3 linked regions of the Drosophila melanogaster genome follow. The protein of the gene in region 3 purifies or fractionates together with the protein of the main gene of each other region. This does not show direct contact. Each region holds a gene or a part of one and is shown on either strand. Other genes may lie near its edges. The genes, in order: koko, Slh and Rme-8.

Evidence for each region.
Region 1: the proteins of Rme-8 (region 3) and koko purify together in Drosophila melanogaster (affinity purification with mass spectrometry, with the first as the bait; one large-scale study listed by BioGRID). This does not show direct contact.
Region 2: the proteins of Rme-8 (region 3) and Slh purify together in Drosophila melanogaster (affinity purification with mass spectrometry, with the first as the bait; one large-scale study listed by BioGRID). This does not show direct contact.

What each region holds. Positions count from the first base shown.
Region 1 is NT_033777.3:18,401,052-18,405,247, forward strand, and holds koko (kokopelli), read left to right. Parts: upstream 1-1,974; 5' UTR 1,975-2,015; intron 2,016-2,171; exon of another isoform or gene 2,172-2,468; 5' UTR 2,469-2,488; coding exon 2,489-2,571; intron 2,572-2,637; coding exon 2,638-2,782; intron 2,783-2,842; coding exon 2,843-3,394; 3' UTR 3,395-3,675; downstream 3,676-4,196. Other genes in the region: Wdr37 (WD repeat domain 37), read right to left, coding at 1-523, 581-1,142, 1,263-1,416; CG7685 (uncharacterized protein), read left to right, coding at 3,992-4,108, 4,169-4,196.
Region 2 is NT_033779.5:2,487,632-2,494,698, reverse strand, and holds Slh (SLY-1 homologous), read left to right. Parts: upstream 1-2,027; 5' UTR 2,028-2,178; coding exon 2,179-2,206; intron 2,207-2,280; coding exon 2,281-2,440; intron 2,441-2,497; coding exon 2,498-3,186; intron 3,187-3,256; coding exon 3,257-3,966; intron 3,967-4,020; coding exon 4,021-4,353; 3' UTR 4,354-6,502; downstream 6,503-7,067. Other genes in the region: oaf (out at first), read right to left, coding at 1,403-1,669. UniProt on the Drosophila melanogaster protein: Non-vital for development.
Region 3 is NT_033778.4:9,174,192-9,179,081, reverse strand, and holds the start of Rme-8 (receptor mediated endocytosis 8), read left to right. Parts: upstream 1-1,820; 5' UTR 1,821-1,940; intron 1,941-2,249; 5' UTR 2,250-2,302; coding exon 2,303-2,494; intron 2,495-2,548; coding exon 2,549-2,689; intron 2,690-2,846; coding exon 2,847-2,991; intron 2,992-3,147; coding exon 3,148-3,349; intron 3,350-3,410; coding exon 3,411-3,915; intron 3,916-3,972; coding exon 3,973-4,151; intron 4,152-4,206; coding exon 4,207-4,414; intron 4,415-4,471; coding exon 4,472-4,882; intron 4,883-4,890. Other genes in the region: Rab32, read left to right, coding at 1-252, 333-476, 538-648.

The sequences.
Region 1 (4,196 bases), on a different chromosome or scaffold from region 3:
GGAGACCGCCAAACGATTGACCGAGGAATCCGTTCGAATGGTGGCCAAGGCGGATCGCATGTTGCGCAGCTCCCAGACCTTGATTGTACGATCATCTGATCCGGACACCACCTTGTCGTCGCGTGCGAACACACTGGACGTAACCGTTTCCGTGTGCCCTTGGAAGACGGAGACCGCTGGGATTGCCTCTCGGAAGTCCCATAGACGGAACGTAGTGTCCCTGGAAGCGGTGACCACCAGGCGCTGGGTGGGATGTGCCGACACGTGGGTGAGCTCGTGGTCGTGCCCAGTGAGCGGCTGCAGTGGCAGGCCAGTCTCCACGTCCCACAGGATGGCAGTCCGATCCCAGCTGCCCGTGATGATTTGATCCATCGAAGAGAGCCAATCGGCGGCCACCACGACTGAAAGATGACCGCCGGGGCCTGTGAACTCGCAGAGCGGAGTGCGTAAGGTGTCCACACGATCGCGATCTTCCACCTGCTCATCACTGTCGTCCAGTTCCTCCTCTGAAGAATGGCCCTTCCTGAAAATCATGCAACGATTATTGAACTACTATAAAATATATTGCAAAGTTACTCACTTGGGCACTTCCCAGTTGACGGCCGCCTGCCAGATGTGGGCAGTACCATCCCCGCTGCCGGTGAGCACAAGATCTCGCTGCTGATGGAACTTGATGGAGTTTACGGAGCCGGCGTGCCCTTGGTACTGCAAAAGGCACCTGGCGCTCTCCACGCCCCAGATGCAGGCCGTATGATCGGCGGAGGCGGTGCCAATGATGGGTTGTCCCGCCTTGGCGGCAACCTGCCAGATGCCATCCTTGTGGCCGCCGAATTCTCGGACCACCGTGCTGACCACTGTGGGCGCCTTAAAGCTGGACACAATGCGGCTGGTTTGGGCCTTGATCTTGTTGCTGGCCTTGGCTTTGCTGCCGCCGGTAGCGCTGCTTAGTTTGGCCTTCAAGCTCTTGTGTGTACTGGATGCTGCAGCCAGGAAGCTGCCCGCCACCTCATCCGTCTGGGTTGCAGGCGTGGCCAAAGCTGCGGATGAGGCCTGAGTGCTCATTGAACCTCCTGCTGCGGATCTGGCATCGGGTGGAATCAATGACTCCTTGGTGGTGGTGGCTATGTCTAGCTTCTCCTGCACTATAACAGAGAATAGGCTTTAATCATGCGTGCACTATACAAAATTTGACATATGTAAGCAATAAATATTAAAGTTTATGAACGAGACCTTAAGGAGTTGTGGATTATATAGCTACTTACGGGCCTGGTTCTCCAGATACAGCTGCTCGAACTCCCGCTCGATCTGGGCGAAGAGGACGTGCAGGCGTGCACGGAATGGTGCATCTTCCGGTACGGCGGCCACGTCCTCCGTCAAACTGGTGAGGCGCACAGCCCGTGTCTTGCTAGCCTTCATGCTTTTCTTTTCGCCTCTTTGTTGTGTATCTCGCAAGTGATTTTCTGAGCCGAGCTGGTCGGCGATATCCGTTTCCTGGTGGGCAGAGCGCCCGGGGGAATCCAATTAGTGTTCAGGGGTTGCAGACTCGCGCTCTATTGATCCATCTTCCGCTGCTGGCGATGCATTTGCCTCTTTGGCTGACTGGGGAACTGCTGTTGCACTTGGTTTTCGCAATGATAATATACTTATTGCAGGTGTTTTTGTGCGCGGGGGGAGCGGGCGGAACAGCTGGTGTGTGTATCGAGTGTTATCGATGTGCGATTATCGCACAGTCGGACTGTGGCACACTGAGAGCAAATTGAACAAATTAAAATAAAATAATTTTGAAATTGCAGTTTACATATTAAATATATTTATATCATAAAAACGAAAAATCCTGTAAAAATTAACTGAAAATTCATTATATGTTATGAATTAGTTTAGAAAAATTTTCAACAAAAACACATCTATAAAAATGTACAATTAACAAAGTTTTTTTTTTAGTGCACTTTGGTTTGAGTACTAGTGTTGAGAAACAATTAGTTAATTTTGCTGACTTTCAAATCTGACACGTGAAGGTAAATAAATTCAAATAGAAATGTAACTATGGATCAGCGCTTTCCTGTAATTATTTATTAGGGTTGATTATCTTGTATAACCCTTTGAAACGGAAGCATTATCCTTAATCAACACTGTGTACTTGAACAGCTGTTTGGCCCGTAGTTGTAGGTACTATTTTTGAAAACACCATTGGGAGTTCCCACAAGACAAACAAATCCGTGCACCGTTGTATTGGATTCCAATCGAACAGCTGACATACCTTCGGGCCCGTTAGTTTTCCCGATCGCCCTGCATATGATACCATATCTCCCATTACAGCGCTGCAGCCCAATCAAACCGGTTTGTCGCCTTTCGACTTTTCGGTGGTCTCAGTTCACATCCATTTCCCCAACCAGTCCAATTGCTTTTATCTTGCTCCTCGAGTGTTAACGAAATTGCTTAAATCCACCCACATTCATCCTTTCATTCAGTTCGGCCTGGGAGTAGCAGCATGAAAAACGTTTTGGATGTCATGTCGATGCAGCAGCACGTGGAGTTGAACAAGGCGCAGACCATGAAGCCCATCGACTATCGGTAAGTTGAATGATCCAATCTAAAGATACCACCAATATATACATATCTGTGCCATCTGTGCCGCAGCAAAATGAACAAACCCGGCGTGGTGCCGATGTACATCTTTGAGTGCGCTGCCAAGTTGAAAATGAAACCGCTGACGGCGGCCTGTGCGGCCATAGTGTTCCATCGCTTCTTCCGCGAGGTCAAGGCCAGCGACTACGATGAGTTCGTGAGTAATATATGCCCCCAAAACGACCCCATCTCATGAGAAACTTTCTGGAATCCACAGCTCATTGCCGCGGGCTCGCTGTACTTGGCTGGCAAAATTAAGGAAGACGAAAGTGTCAAGATACGCGATGTCATCAACGTGGCATACTGCACCCTTAACCGGGGCAATGATCCAGTCGACCTGAACGATGAGTACTGGTCGATGCGGGATGCCATTGTCCAGGCTGAGCTGCTCATCACGCGCACCCTGTGCTTCGATCTCAACATAGATCTGGCCCACAAGTACTTACTCCACTACATGAAGACCCTACAAGACTGGGTGGGCACTGAGGTGTGGAACTCGGTGCCCATTGCCAAGGCAGCCGCCTCGTATCTGCAAGACTTTCACCACAGCGCCAATATCCTCAAGTACAAGCCCACCCATGTGGCCATTGGGTGCCTGTCGCTGGCCCTCCAGACCTACGGCATCCAGGTGCCGCTAACCGACGAGTCCGACGAATCCGCCATGTGGTACAAGCCCTTGGTCAAGGACTTCACCCGAGAGAACCAGTGGGAGATCATCGAGAACGTGATCGAGGTCTACAAGAACGAGGGCTTCCTGAATGCCACCTAATCGCTGAGAGAGACTGCCAAAACCATTCCTTCTGCCATCTGAACTTATTTATTTTCCCCTCGCCACCTCATAAACCAATCTCAGATACTACTAGACGTACATATGCTCAAATGTCCAATGCATTTACATCATGCCCTTGCCAAAACAAATAAATTGACCGGTAATGAAATGCTTATGTGATCGACGGGCGAAAGTACATTTACCTATCAGCGAAGACGATAGATCTAAAGTTTACAACTTATTTATACACTGATTCAATAAACAATTGTTCTGTGAAAAATGATATTGTTAATGGGTCTTTGGAGTTGTGAAATGCTTTAAGATTCTGAGGAAAAGCAAAAAGGTGTTTGGCGCTTTTATTTCAATCAAATTCATTATACTTTTAAGCTGTTAAAAGTTTTACAAAAAAATATTACACTTTATCAAACAAATTTAAATAAATCGCTCTGTATTTGATTAAATTCCGGGATGGGTGGCAACCCTTAGCCCCAGCCCAGCAGTGTTGACTAACGCAGGCATGTACAAAAACAATGCTAGTTCGTAAACAAAACATATTTTTTATACATTACTTGGCCAGAGCGAAAAAACAAGGACAATATGCGTAAGACGTGGGTGAAGCGAGAGAATATATACTTCAAGCCCTTCTACAAGCAGAAGTCGAAGATGTTCCTGCTGCTGATCTTCCTGGTCGGAATTTCGTTCATCGCGTATCAGGTGAGAGTCTCGCAAGGATTTTCCTGTGCACGGTGTTTAATGTGTAAACAATAACGATAGGCCTTCTCGCTGAACCAGCTGCCCGGAG
Region 2 (7,067 bases), on a different chromosome or scaffold from region 3:
ACAAAGAATAGCCGAAAGAAGTGAGAAGAGAAGAGGAAGTATGGAGGAGCGAAGGAAGAGAGCCATCAGGACATTTTGGGGCCAGGGACAGAGCGCAGAGAACAATGAAGGATGTCACATGTAAACAAAGATGTACGAAAATACGCTGTGTGCAAGTGAAATAGGGAAAGAGAGAAAGAGAGAGGCTGCCTTCATTTCAAGCCCGGTGCTTTTTCGGCCAGCTAATCTAAAATTTATGGAAAAGCCGAAAGCAAAGTGTCAATATTGAGGCAGTCAAACAAACCCAACTAATATTAAAGTGGAAAAACGAAACGACAGGCAAGTGAAAGTTTCAATACTGGCATTGAACTGCACATATGTATATGTCGCATTACGGATGTATTCTGACCACTGTACGTGTCTGTCATATTATTACCATGGTTTGACCACTGTGCTTGCAAGACGCAGCTGCGCAATGAGTTCGGTATATTGAGAGGTCATTCTTAGAATTTGACTATCACGAAGAATATGACTGGCGTCAAAGTACCGTTACGAGTGAGGCGACGGCGTTGTCGCGCTGTCGCCTAGTTGGACTACACTAGCGTGTGTAAAGGATAGATCGATGCGTAGAAAATACGATCAGTTGCATACAGACGATCGCGCACGCCGGTTGGAATTCGCTTCACTCAACATGGGAGATCAGGCACAAGAAAATGTCAACGCTGCGACATATGCATGTACATACATATGTACATAATGGCGTTGCAAGCATATAGAATAGAGCTTTGTTTTATGGTCATCAGGCATCGATGGATTATCTGGCCTACTTAACGGTATACTAATTAGATATCGGCGAAGTACAAGCTCACAGAACATGTTTCCATTCGGAGAATCCTGTATTTTGCATAAATCAATAGGGGACATGATTTGTTGTGCACATGTGTGCTGCACGAATCAACGTGGGCTGTGTATGCGTGTGTGCAATCCTTTACATTTGCAACTTATTGGATGAACTGCGTGTTCTTAAGAACGAACTAAGCATTGTTTATGAAATACCGAATCCTTGCTAATTCTAAAAGCAATATATTGGCGTATTTTACAATATGACTAGGCAAATTTTAAATTTCAGATACATATACTTGTCATATTCTACTGTCATAGCTGTAATAACTGTCACTGAATTACTATCTTTTTAATATTTAATTTGTTGTTTTCGCAGATTTGTTTATTTGTCTTGAGCACCTCTCTTTCGCTCTCTCATTCTCCCGCGTTTTAAATTTGTTTTGTTTTGGCGCGCAAATTTTCGAAATGAGATGTTCGAAAATCAGATGGGCAGCGCTGCCAGCGTCGCTGTTTGTCGTTGTTGCGTTTTGCGTTGTTGGGATTTAAGTGTTTTAAACCATTTTTTTTTGCGATTTCGCACCTGATTTTGGACGTTAATGAGCAGCTGGGAGTGGGCGAATGCGTCCGCGTTCATCACTAAGTTGCACAGCAGGAACCACAGAAACGCGCGACTGTGCTTGAAAAAGTGATTTTTACTGACGACGCGACCGCAGCAATTGCCGTGCGCTGGTGTTCGAGTGCGGCTGAGTGCCTTAAGATGCGCCATTCGCCAGCGGACCTGCGCCTGCCTTGCCGCATTTGCGGCAGTTTCGATGCTCTGGTGTGGGTGCTCCTCCTTTAAGATCATTGCGATCCGACAACTTTTAAATAAAATCACAAGAAAGCACAACGAACCACTCGCGTCGACGAACGAAAAATAACTGGCAGAAAATGGTGAAACTGACTGAAACGTGACTTTTCGAAATCAGCTGACAGGTGTGACCGTGCGGTAATCCCAAAGGGTGCTGCCAACCTTCTCGAACAGGAGCCTACGAATTTCGATTGTAGAAAATATACCAACCCAATATAGCTGCATTACACTGGCACACATATCTATATCTATAGAATAAATAGACTACATTCATTTTCATTTAGTATTTAAATATTCATATTGGAATTTCCACTGCATACGTTCACACCAGCCGCACAGCTGATGCCTGTACTATGCACTAAAATTTCCCAAAACGCGTTGCCTCGCCGTCGCTTGTGACGTGTTGTTTTTTTGTAAAATATGTTTTTCAGCTGCTAAAACGGACATAGATTGTTGAAAATCCACTGAAACTAACTCAGAAGGACGGGCTAAAGACGGACTATATAATGCTGACCCTGCGGGAGCGCCAAATCAGTGAGAAACTATGAAAACAATGCCCCCATTGAAGGGAAAACCTAATTAATGGATTTTCATATTAATCATTGCAGATGCCATTAAGCAGATGCTTAATTTGAACTCGCAGCAGCCGAAAGCCCTAGCTGCCGAGCCCGTGTGGAAGATCCTTATCTACGATCGCGTTGGCCAGGACATCATATCGCCCATTATTTCCATCAAGGAGCTGCGCGAGTTGGGCGTGACGCTGCATGTGTAAGTTGTGCGAGATCCTCCAGGAATCCAGAAATTATAGCTTTGGTTAACCTCCAGGCAACTGCACTCGGATCGCGACTCCATTCCGGATGTGCCGGCTATATACTTCTGCCTGCCCACCGACGAGAATTTGGACAGGATTCAGCAGGACTTCTCGAGCGGACTGTACGACGTGTACCACCTGAACTTCCTAGCTCCCATAACGCGCAGCAAAATCGAGAATCTGGCCGCCGCAGCCCTGCATGCCGGCTGCGTGGCCAACATCCATCGCGTTTACGACCAGTATGTGAACTTCATCAGTCTGGAGGATGACTTCTTCATCCTAAAGCACCAGCAGAGCGATCAGCTTTCATACTACGCCATCAACCGGGCCAACACCCGCGATGAAGAGATGGAGGCCCTGATGGACTCCATTGTAGACTCGCTCTTCGCCCTGTTTGTGACCCTGGGCAATGTGCCCATCATCCGCTGTCCGCGGAACAGTGCCGCTGAAATGGTGGCACGCAAGCTGGAGAAGAAGCTGCGCGAGAACCTTTGGGATGCGCGTGCCAATTTGTTCCACATGGATGCCACGCAAGCCGGCGGCGGAGTGTTCAGCTTTCAGAGACCTGTGCTCCTGCTGCTGGACAGGAACATGGATTTAGCCACGCCGCTCCATCACACCTGGTCGTATCAGGCGCTTGTGCACGATGTACTGGACTTGGGACTGAATCTTGTCTACGTGGAGGACGAGACGGCTAGTGCGGGCAAGTAAAATTACTTTTATCAAGGCGCTGAATAACTGAGACTCACCAACTACGTTTTCCTATTCTTTAGGAGCCCGCAAAAAACCCAAGGCCTGTGACTTGGACCGCAACGACCGCTTCTGGATGACGCACAAGGGCAGTCCATTTCCCACGGTGGCCGAAGCCATCCAGGAGGAGCTGGAATCCTATCGGAACTCCGAGGAGGAGATCAAGCGCTTGAAGACATCGATGGGTATCGAGGGCGAGTCGGACATTGCATTCTCTTTGGTCAATGACACAACGGCCAGGCTCACCAATGCCGTCAATTCGCTGCCCCAACTGATGGAGAAGAAGCGACTGATCGACATGCACACCAAGATCGCCACTGCAATCCTGAACTTCATTAAGGCTCGACGACTGGATTCGTTTTTTGAGATCGAGGAGAAGGTCATGTCGAAGCAGACACTGGACAGACCGCTGCTGGACCTACTGCGAGATGGAGAGTTTGGTCAGGCGGAGGACAAGCTGCGCCTGTATATCATCTACTTTATCTGCGCCCAGCAGTTACCCGAATCGGAGCAGGAGCGGCTCAAGGAGGCGCTGCAGGCTGCCGGTTGTGACCTAACTGCCCTTGCGTACGTGCAACGATGGAAGGGAATCATGAACCGCTCGCCGAGCATTAGCCAAGCCACACAGTACGAGGGTGGCGGCACCAAGACTGTGTCCATGTTCACTAAACTCGTCTCACAGGGCAGCTCCTTCGTGATGGAGGGCGTCAAGAATCTGGTGGTCAAGCGACATGTGAGTTTCTCTTTCCAAATTCAAATTCAAGTTCTATATCAAAATTGTTTGCAGAATCTTCCGGTGACCAAGATCACCGAGCAGGTGATGGAGTGCCGCAGCAATGCGGAGACGGATGACTACCTTTATCTGGATCCAAAGCTGCTCAAAGGTGGCGAGGTCCTGCCCAAAAATCGTGCTCCATTCCAGGACGCCGTGGTGTTCATGGTCGGCGGAGGCAACTACATCGAGTACCAGAACCTGGTGGACTTCATCAAACAGAAGCAAACGTCCAATGTGCAACGGCGCATCATTTATGGCGCTTCCACGCTGACCAACGCGAGGCAGTTCCTCAAGGAGCTCTCCGCCCTGGGCGGCGAGATCCAGTCGCCGACGGCGACGAGTTAGGAGCGGCTGCTCCGATTCCATTGCTGCTGAGCGGAGTGGACCGGGTTTTGGTTGCATGTGCATGGGTGTCTGTGTGGCTTCTTTCGTTTACTTTAAGCATATCCAAAAATAAATTAAATGCCAGGCAAAAAAGAGAAGCAAGCGAACGCAACGGCAGAGCCAGAGCTCAGCACTCGGCAATTACTCCAACCTGACGCTTAATCCCCGAAGGACAACAAGCAAAAACATGCGTAGCCTCGTGTACAACAAGCCCAGGGAGCTGGTGCCAGAGCTGCTGGAATGGGAGCTTGGCGGCGGGCAGGGGTACTCGCATTCTAGGCACCCATTAACACCAACTTGGCAACGCTTTGATGGACAGCTGACAGACAACCAGTCAACGGCTGAGGCGATGATGGCCCAGCCATCCCGATGCCCGCTGCCTTCGGCGGCGGTGCCACAATTATGGGGCGACAACTATGCGCGGCACTTGGGGACAGGCGCAGAAGCTGGCAGGGACAGCACCCAGCAATTAGCACTATCCCTGGCCAACTATGAATGGATCGAGGCGAGGCAAGTCGCTGTCGATGGCATAGCCAGCGCACTGGAGCACTAGGCGCATTTTTTCGAAGCACTGCAGCTCTGATTGAATGTCGCTTCCTTGGGAGACGGGCAGGCAGCCTGGCAGCCAGGCAGGCCAAGTCCATCAAAGAAGAGCGTTAAATTATCCCTGAAAGCCCATCTTTGGTTTGAATTGGTGTTGCAAGAAAAGATGATGTAAATGAAAATTCTAACAAGTAGGAAAAAGAAGTGGCAGGAAAAGGAATGTTTTAAGAACCTTATTAACCGATACCAAATTATAGAAATCAATTGTAAAAACAACGATAGAGAATGTTTATAGAATTGATTCTACAGATTGGCCAATGTAGTAAAGTAATAAAATCTCTAAGATTTTCCTCAATTTAATGGCATTTGACCAGCGAAATGCTGAAATTTTCCCCATGAAATGAAAAAGCTCGAACTGAAAATATTTCCAATGACATTCAGGCCACTGTAGGAAGTTTCCCGAGATAAGCGGCAAACAAATACCACAAAAAATGAGTAAAATATGGTGGAGAAAAAAGCGATCCGTGGGCTAATTAACACTTTTGGTAAATCAGAATTGATGGCCCTGATGAAAGGCCGAAGAAGAGATGATGACGATGACGATGATTATTCATGGAGCGTTGAGTTTAAATATTGGTTTTGGTTGGGCAGCCGGGCAGGGGTTGGGTTACTATCCAGACTACCCGTGGCCACAATTTAAATGTTAACATAAACAAGAGCAATTTAACAAAAGCCCAAGACCCAAAAAAAAATCCAAGAGACTCGAAAAAAAAAATAAATAAATAAAAGTACAGGGGAAACGAAAAGTCGAACTCCCAGCCAGAAACTGGTAACCCAAAGTGATTTCACGGGTGGTCCGAAAAGATGCGGCTCAAACAAATCATAAGGAAAAAATGAGAGGGAAAAACGACTACAGAAACTAACAACGAGAACGCAACATGAAAGAAATTCTTAACTTGCCACATGCATGAATCGATTATGTGGTAAATGCAACTGTCGCTGTATGCGTGAGTATCTGTGTGGTGTGGATCTCGTAGCCAGCGCAGCTCCTCCGCCGTCGAGACCCAAAAATCGAGAAAAAAAATAAAATGGTCAGGCAGCCGTTTCCCACATTCCTGCTGTGAATCATAATGGCTGCCGCTGTCGTCGTCTTGCTGGATGATTCTGCCGGATCCGACCGACCCGCCCGATCCGCTCGCTCAGCGCCCCAGCCGCCCAATCTCCGCCAGCACACCGACACACACTCGCCGACATCCCATACATATATCATAATCTTAACAACTCTTAACAAGGCAGAACAAATTCCAAAATTCGAGGAGCCCGACTCGAACAGCCAGTCAGGCAGTCGGACGATCCCACAAAATGAAGTGCCAGCCAGACAGAGAAGGCGATCTTCAGACACAGCTTCAGCTTTAGCTTTGGGTTGGGATCTTTAGACCCAATGAATGGACTCGAAGTGGAGAGTCTGCTGAGATCTGGTCAGATATGTGGGTTCATATGGGAGGGCATAACCCTTGTGGTTTTGATGGTTTTTATAAGCGCAATATAAGTTTTTCCCACTCTTATTAAACATCAATGTTTGATATTGTACACAAGCAAAAAATAAATATATATACATATGATCCAAAAAAATAAATATAAATAAATGTATTTGCAACCTATGAACTGTTTTGGATATGCTTTAGTAGTATATACATACATCTATAGTTTACTTCAGCTGGAACTCCCTAACACATGTCCATCAACTTTACATTCTAATTTTGTTTGATCTGCGCCAGACCTGTGGACTCCCACAGTTGGACCCTTGTGTTATCCTTGTCAGCATTTTGTTGGAATATCCCATTGTTGTTCCCAGCCGGGATGGTGCTACCACAAACATTTTCTGGGCATCGCCGCCCTCGGTGGTCCGCTTTTGGAGATCGGGAGCGGCATGTTAATTAATCAGCCAAATAATAATACAGCACCCATCGGCGGAGAAGAAACGAGCCGAAGCGCAGAGGTAGAGGTTCCAAATATTTGCCGGCAATAAAAGAGCAGCGCGGATGGATGGATCATCCTGCGAGGAGTAGGAGTTGGAGAGCAGGAGGAGGAGAATGAGGAGCTGGCTTGTTAGCGGCTTGTTAGCCCGGCTA
Region 3 (4,890 bases):
GACTTCGCCCTGAAAGTGCTGCAGTGGGACGCCAATACGATAGTGCGCCTCCAGCTGTGGGATATCGCCGGTCAGGAGAGGTTTGGCAACATGACCCGTGTCTACTACAAGGAGGCGGTGGGCGCGTTCATCGTTTTTGATGTGACTCGCAGTGGGACTTTCGATTGCGTGAGCAAGTGGAAGGAAGATCTAGACTCCAAGGTGCAGCTGCCGGACGGCAGTCCCATTCCGTGCATCCTGCTGGCCAATAAAGTAAGTGATTGCCTAAAGGTTAAAGGAGACCGCATAATTTCTATATTATGTGATTAATACGTTGCTCATCCGTTTTCCAGTGCGACCAGGAAAAGCAGGGCATCATAACGCAGCCCGAGAAGATGGATGAGTATGTGAGGGAGAACGGATTTGCCGGTTGGTTTGAGACATCCGCCAAGGAGAATATCAACATCGATGAGGCAGCTCGTGCCCTCGTGAATAAGGTGATAATCGCTGCTAATGCCCAGCCAAAGCCCCGCTAATCTTCTTCCACTCGCCCGACAGATACTCATCAACGATAAGCTGATATCTGCCGATCTGGCCGATGGCGACAAGTTCAACTTGAGCGCGGCCGATGCAACCGGATCGGATGCCAAGAACAAGTGTTCCTGCTGACCTGGGACCGAGGTCCGGCGACTCCTATTCCCATTCCCAGTTTAAGAGCGAGTTTCAACACAGAAACGCCATGTGCCTACGTCCACTCCATGTTCATGTTGTTAGAAGATAGCGATAACTATGCTTAGGGTTTTAACGTAACATTTGTCTAAGACTTAGTGTCATCCGTATCATCCCGTCCGTCTTTATCTTTAACACCCCGTCTGTGGGTCCACAATGTTGCGCCGGCATCGGGATCCGTGTCACTTTGAGAATTTATATGGTGACACATAACATACCTACGCATACGAAACATTATTACTATCACCATCATTGCCCTAGTTGCGAGGATTAGCCGGAGGTAGTGCAGCATCCGTATCATAGCATACTACATTTGTGTAAAATGCGAATCGTCTTATTGTTTTGTTTGTTTTATTTGCCTCTGCTGGCGAGATTGTTTTATCTTGGAATTATTATTCTCGTATGCAAACACACTCTGCCATCATTATTTGTATTTAGATAACAATACGTACGCTTAATGCAATGCGAAATCAGAAATAAAGTTTTTAATGGTAGTTAAGTTCAGACGACGTGTTTTATTGGCTGAATAAATTCTGTGTAAGTGCTTTTGTGATACAATGAAAATGTTATGCTACTAGTATTTGCCTTCATTGAATCACTGGTCTTTGTAAATAAATACGAATAAAAGCTTTGTTTTTACATTTCCTTTTTTAACGGTAAAAAATCGTATCCCCAACCGGCAATGTTTTTCTTTTTTTTTAATATTCAAACTATCGATAGTTATCAACTATGGTATTCCTTATTGTTTAGTGATCACATATTAAACTTAAAAATAATGATATACAGATAAAAGTGTCGTGCGTTCATATTCTACATAAAATTATTAGCAATTATTTAATCGTTATGAAAAGCGAAACGTATAAACTGGTAATTGGTATGGGAAAAATTGGGAAAAAGCTGGAATCAGGTTTAATTGCAATTTGGTTTTATAAAATGTTTTATGGCACAAACAAACATCCTGACTCAAAAGTGAATTAAGCTTGAAACTTAAATACTCCGAGAATACCGTGAATATGCGTTTACCAATTGCTGCTGAACGGGACCACTATCGATAGAACCTTACAAACTATCGAATCGCTGCAAGACTATTGCCATCGATACTTGCACCTCTATTTATTAGTGTTGTGTAGCCGTGTTACTGCTAAATTGTTTATTGCAAAAATTCCGCAAACGAGAGATATTAGGAATAGAAGACAATATAACAATTGGGCAAAATGTGTTAGATGTTTAAGGTAAGCCACCGCCAGGGCTGCAGCTCGGCGGAGCCGTATCCAACGGTCCGCGCTCTGGGGGCCGCAGCATTCCGCACTCGTCACGTTTACTCCCCTTTTCTGGTCTTTGTTGGGGCTCCGTTGGCACTTCTGCTGATAAGTGCCCAAGTCGACTTAATTAATCAGTGCCCTGGAGTCGGGGGCAAGTCAATTGGATATTTGGAAACCGCTGGGAACGTGAACCAGCTGCGCGCCCGAAAGACCAGTCATGAATTGCCGCGGCTCTGATTTGACTCCCGTTCCCACACTCCATATCTCACTCACTTTCAGTTGCTGACTAATACTGGGTGGAAGGTAATCAGTTGGAATCGTCACAAGAAACGATGCTGCCGCCTAAGGAAAACGTCGATCTGGAGTGCTTCCTGGTGACCAAGCACTCCTGGAAGGGCAGGTATAAGCGCATCCTCTCCATCGGCACGGCCGGCATATCCACCTACAATCCGGACAAGCTTGACCTGACTAACAGGTGGTCCTATTCGGACATCGTAGCAGCAGCACCCTCAAAGACCACAAATGTGAGTTTATAAGATCCTACGGAGAGCTCGGAACTAAATAAATTGATCTTTCAGATACCCCATGACTTCGTGATTACCATCAAAAAGGATAAGAAACTAGATACAATCAAGTTATCGTCGGAATATCGGAACGATATCCTAAGCTCTATATTAAAGTACTACAAAGAGTTTGCGGACAAGCCGAAAAATGCTCAGGTTGGTTTTTGAGTCTCGCTTTAAATCCTATACTAATTTGGAAACACTTCTCCAACATTTCATGTGTGATTCAGATGTTTCTAATTAACATTTAAATATGCAATATGAATTCTAATCTGTCAAAATTTTAATTTTGAATACTATCTAAATTTTGTAGCGCTTTAGTGCTTACAAATACCACTGGTCGGGCATCAGTCTTCCCACAGTACTGGAGGTCACGCCCTGTTCTCTGGACCAGCTCGATCCCACCACCAACGACGTGCTGGCCAGCTATATGTACAAGGATATCGAGGGAATAATAGGTAGCTATGCACATTCGACTCGCTTGCATCAATTAATGTGTCTTGTTTTGTCCTCATGTGCCTCAATTACAATTCAATATGATCGCTCCGTGTTTTGTTCTTTTTTTTATTTTTGGTTACTTGCCGCACTCATCTTTCTTCCGCACACGTTTTAAGCAGGCATCTCGGACTATGAGGGAGGAATCGTGATGGCCTACGGCGGATTCAGTCGCCTCCATTTGTTTAAGGCGCTGAATCACCACGAAATCGTGCAGAACATAGCACAGAGATCGGCTCAGTTTCTGGGCATCGAAACCAAAATACTCAAGAGTCAGATCACTCTGGAGCAGTTCGAGAGGCAGCGGTTCGGCAAGTTTAGGTAAGTTCATGTGAAACGCAATAAAGAATTTGTAGAAAAAAAAAGCCATATAATATTTCAGTGGTGACCAGTTTCAAACCTCGTCGACCGAATTCTCGGTTCATAAGATAACGCCCCGCCATCCGGATCCGGTGAAGCGTATACTCTGCCTCACCGAGGTAACGCTGCTGGAGCGGGATCCTCAAACCTACAGCGTCTGCACCCTGCGTCCGCTCACTGATGTGTTTGCCTTAGTTAGAGACAAGGACAATCTTCAGCGCTTCAGCATCGAGTACAAGAATGGAATCGTGCGCAACTACAGCACCAACGACCGCGACTCATTGTTGGCCACTGTTCTGGATGCTGTCCGCTCCAGTGGCAATCAGGATGTGCACGTCCGCATTGGCAACACGCCGCGAGGGAAACGGTATGTGCCATTGAACAGCTCGGTGGACGAGGAGACGGAGGCGAATTTGATGCGCCTGGTTATCAACAATTTTCAAAACCCCTCTAAGCGGTATGAGATCTTGGAGCGCTTTAATGCCAATGTGCCTCACAGTGGCCTCAACTACAGTGTAACTCAGGATGTAGGTTAACCTAATGCTCGGATTCCGGTTCAACCTAACTAATGTTTCGTTTCACAGAGCTTGTTTGCTGAAAACAAAGATAAACTTATCCTGAGTGCCCTGCAAGCGTTGGCTCAAAAGGAGCTGGACAGCCCTACGGCCCAGCTGAGCAACTTGGAGCTGGAGGCTATCTTTCACGCTCTTACTCGTCTTCTCGCTAGCAAAGTTGGATACGCAGCCTTTACGAATCTCCCGGGGTAATATATTCTAGTTTCGTACTAATAGCATTGTTAATGTTTGAATACATTTCAGCTTTCGTGAGATTATCGGTACAAAGGTGGTGGCTGCTTTAAGACGCAAGGATTTGGCTGTGACATACTCCGCCATTGACATGATTAACTCGCTAATGCATTCTGTGAATTCTGACCATGATTTAAAACAGGAGCAACTTAACAAGTCATCCATTCTGTCATCAAAATCGTTTCTGGAAACTTTGCTCAACATGTGGACAACCCATGTGGTAATGTAACCATTCTAGAGTGCGGTCAATTCGTTTTGTAACTATTTATGATTTCAGAGCCATGGCAGTGGTGCTCTGGTACTCTCAGCCATGCTGGACTTCATGACCTTTGCCTTGTGTGTGCCTTACAGCGAGACCACTGACGGCAAGCAGTTCGATACTCTGCTGGAGCTGGTTGCCGATCGTGGACGCTATTTGTACAAACTGTTCCAGCATCCCTCGCTGGCGATCGTGAAGGGAGCTGGATTGGTGCTGCGGGCCATTATTGAAGAAGGCGAGCTGCAAGTGGCTCAGCAAATGCAAGCATTGGCTTTGGATGAGGCTGCGCTGTGCCGCCACTTACTGGTGGCACTGTATACGCCCTCCAATGATCCCACACAGACCACGCAACGTCAGTTGTCGCGGCATTTGATCGGGCTGTGGCTAACAGATAGTGAGGAGGCCATGGAACTCTTTAAACGCATATTCGTGAGTTA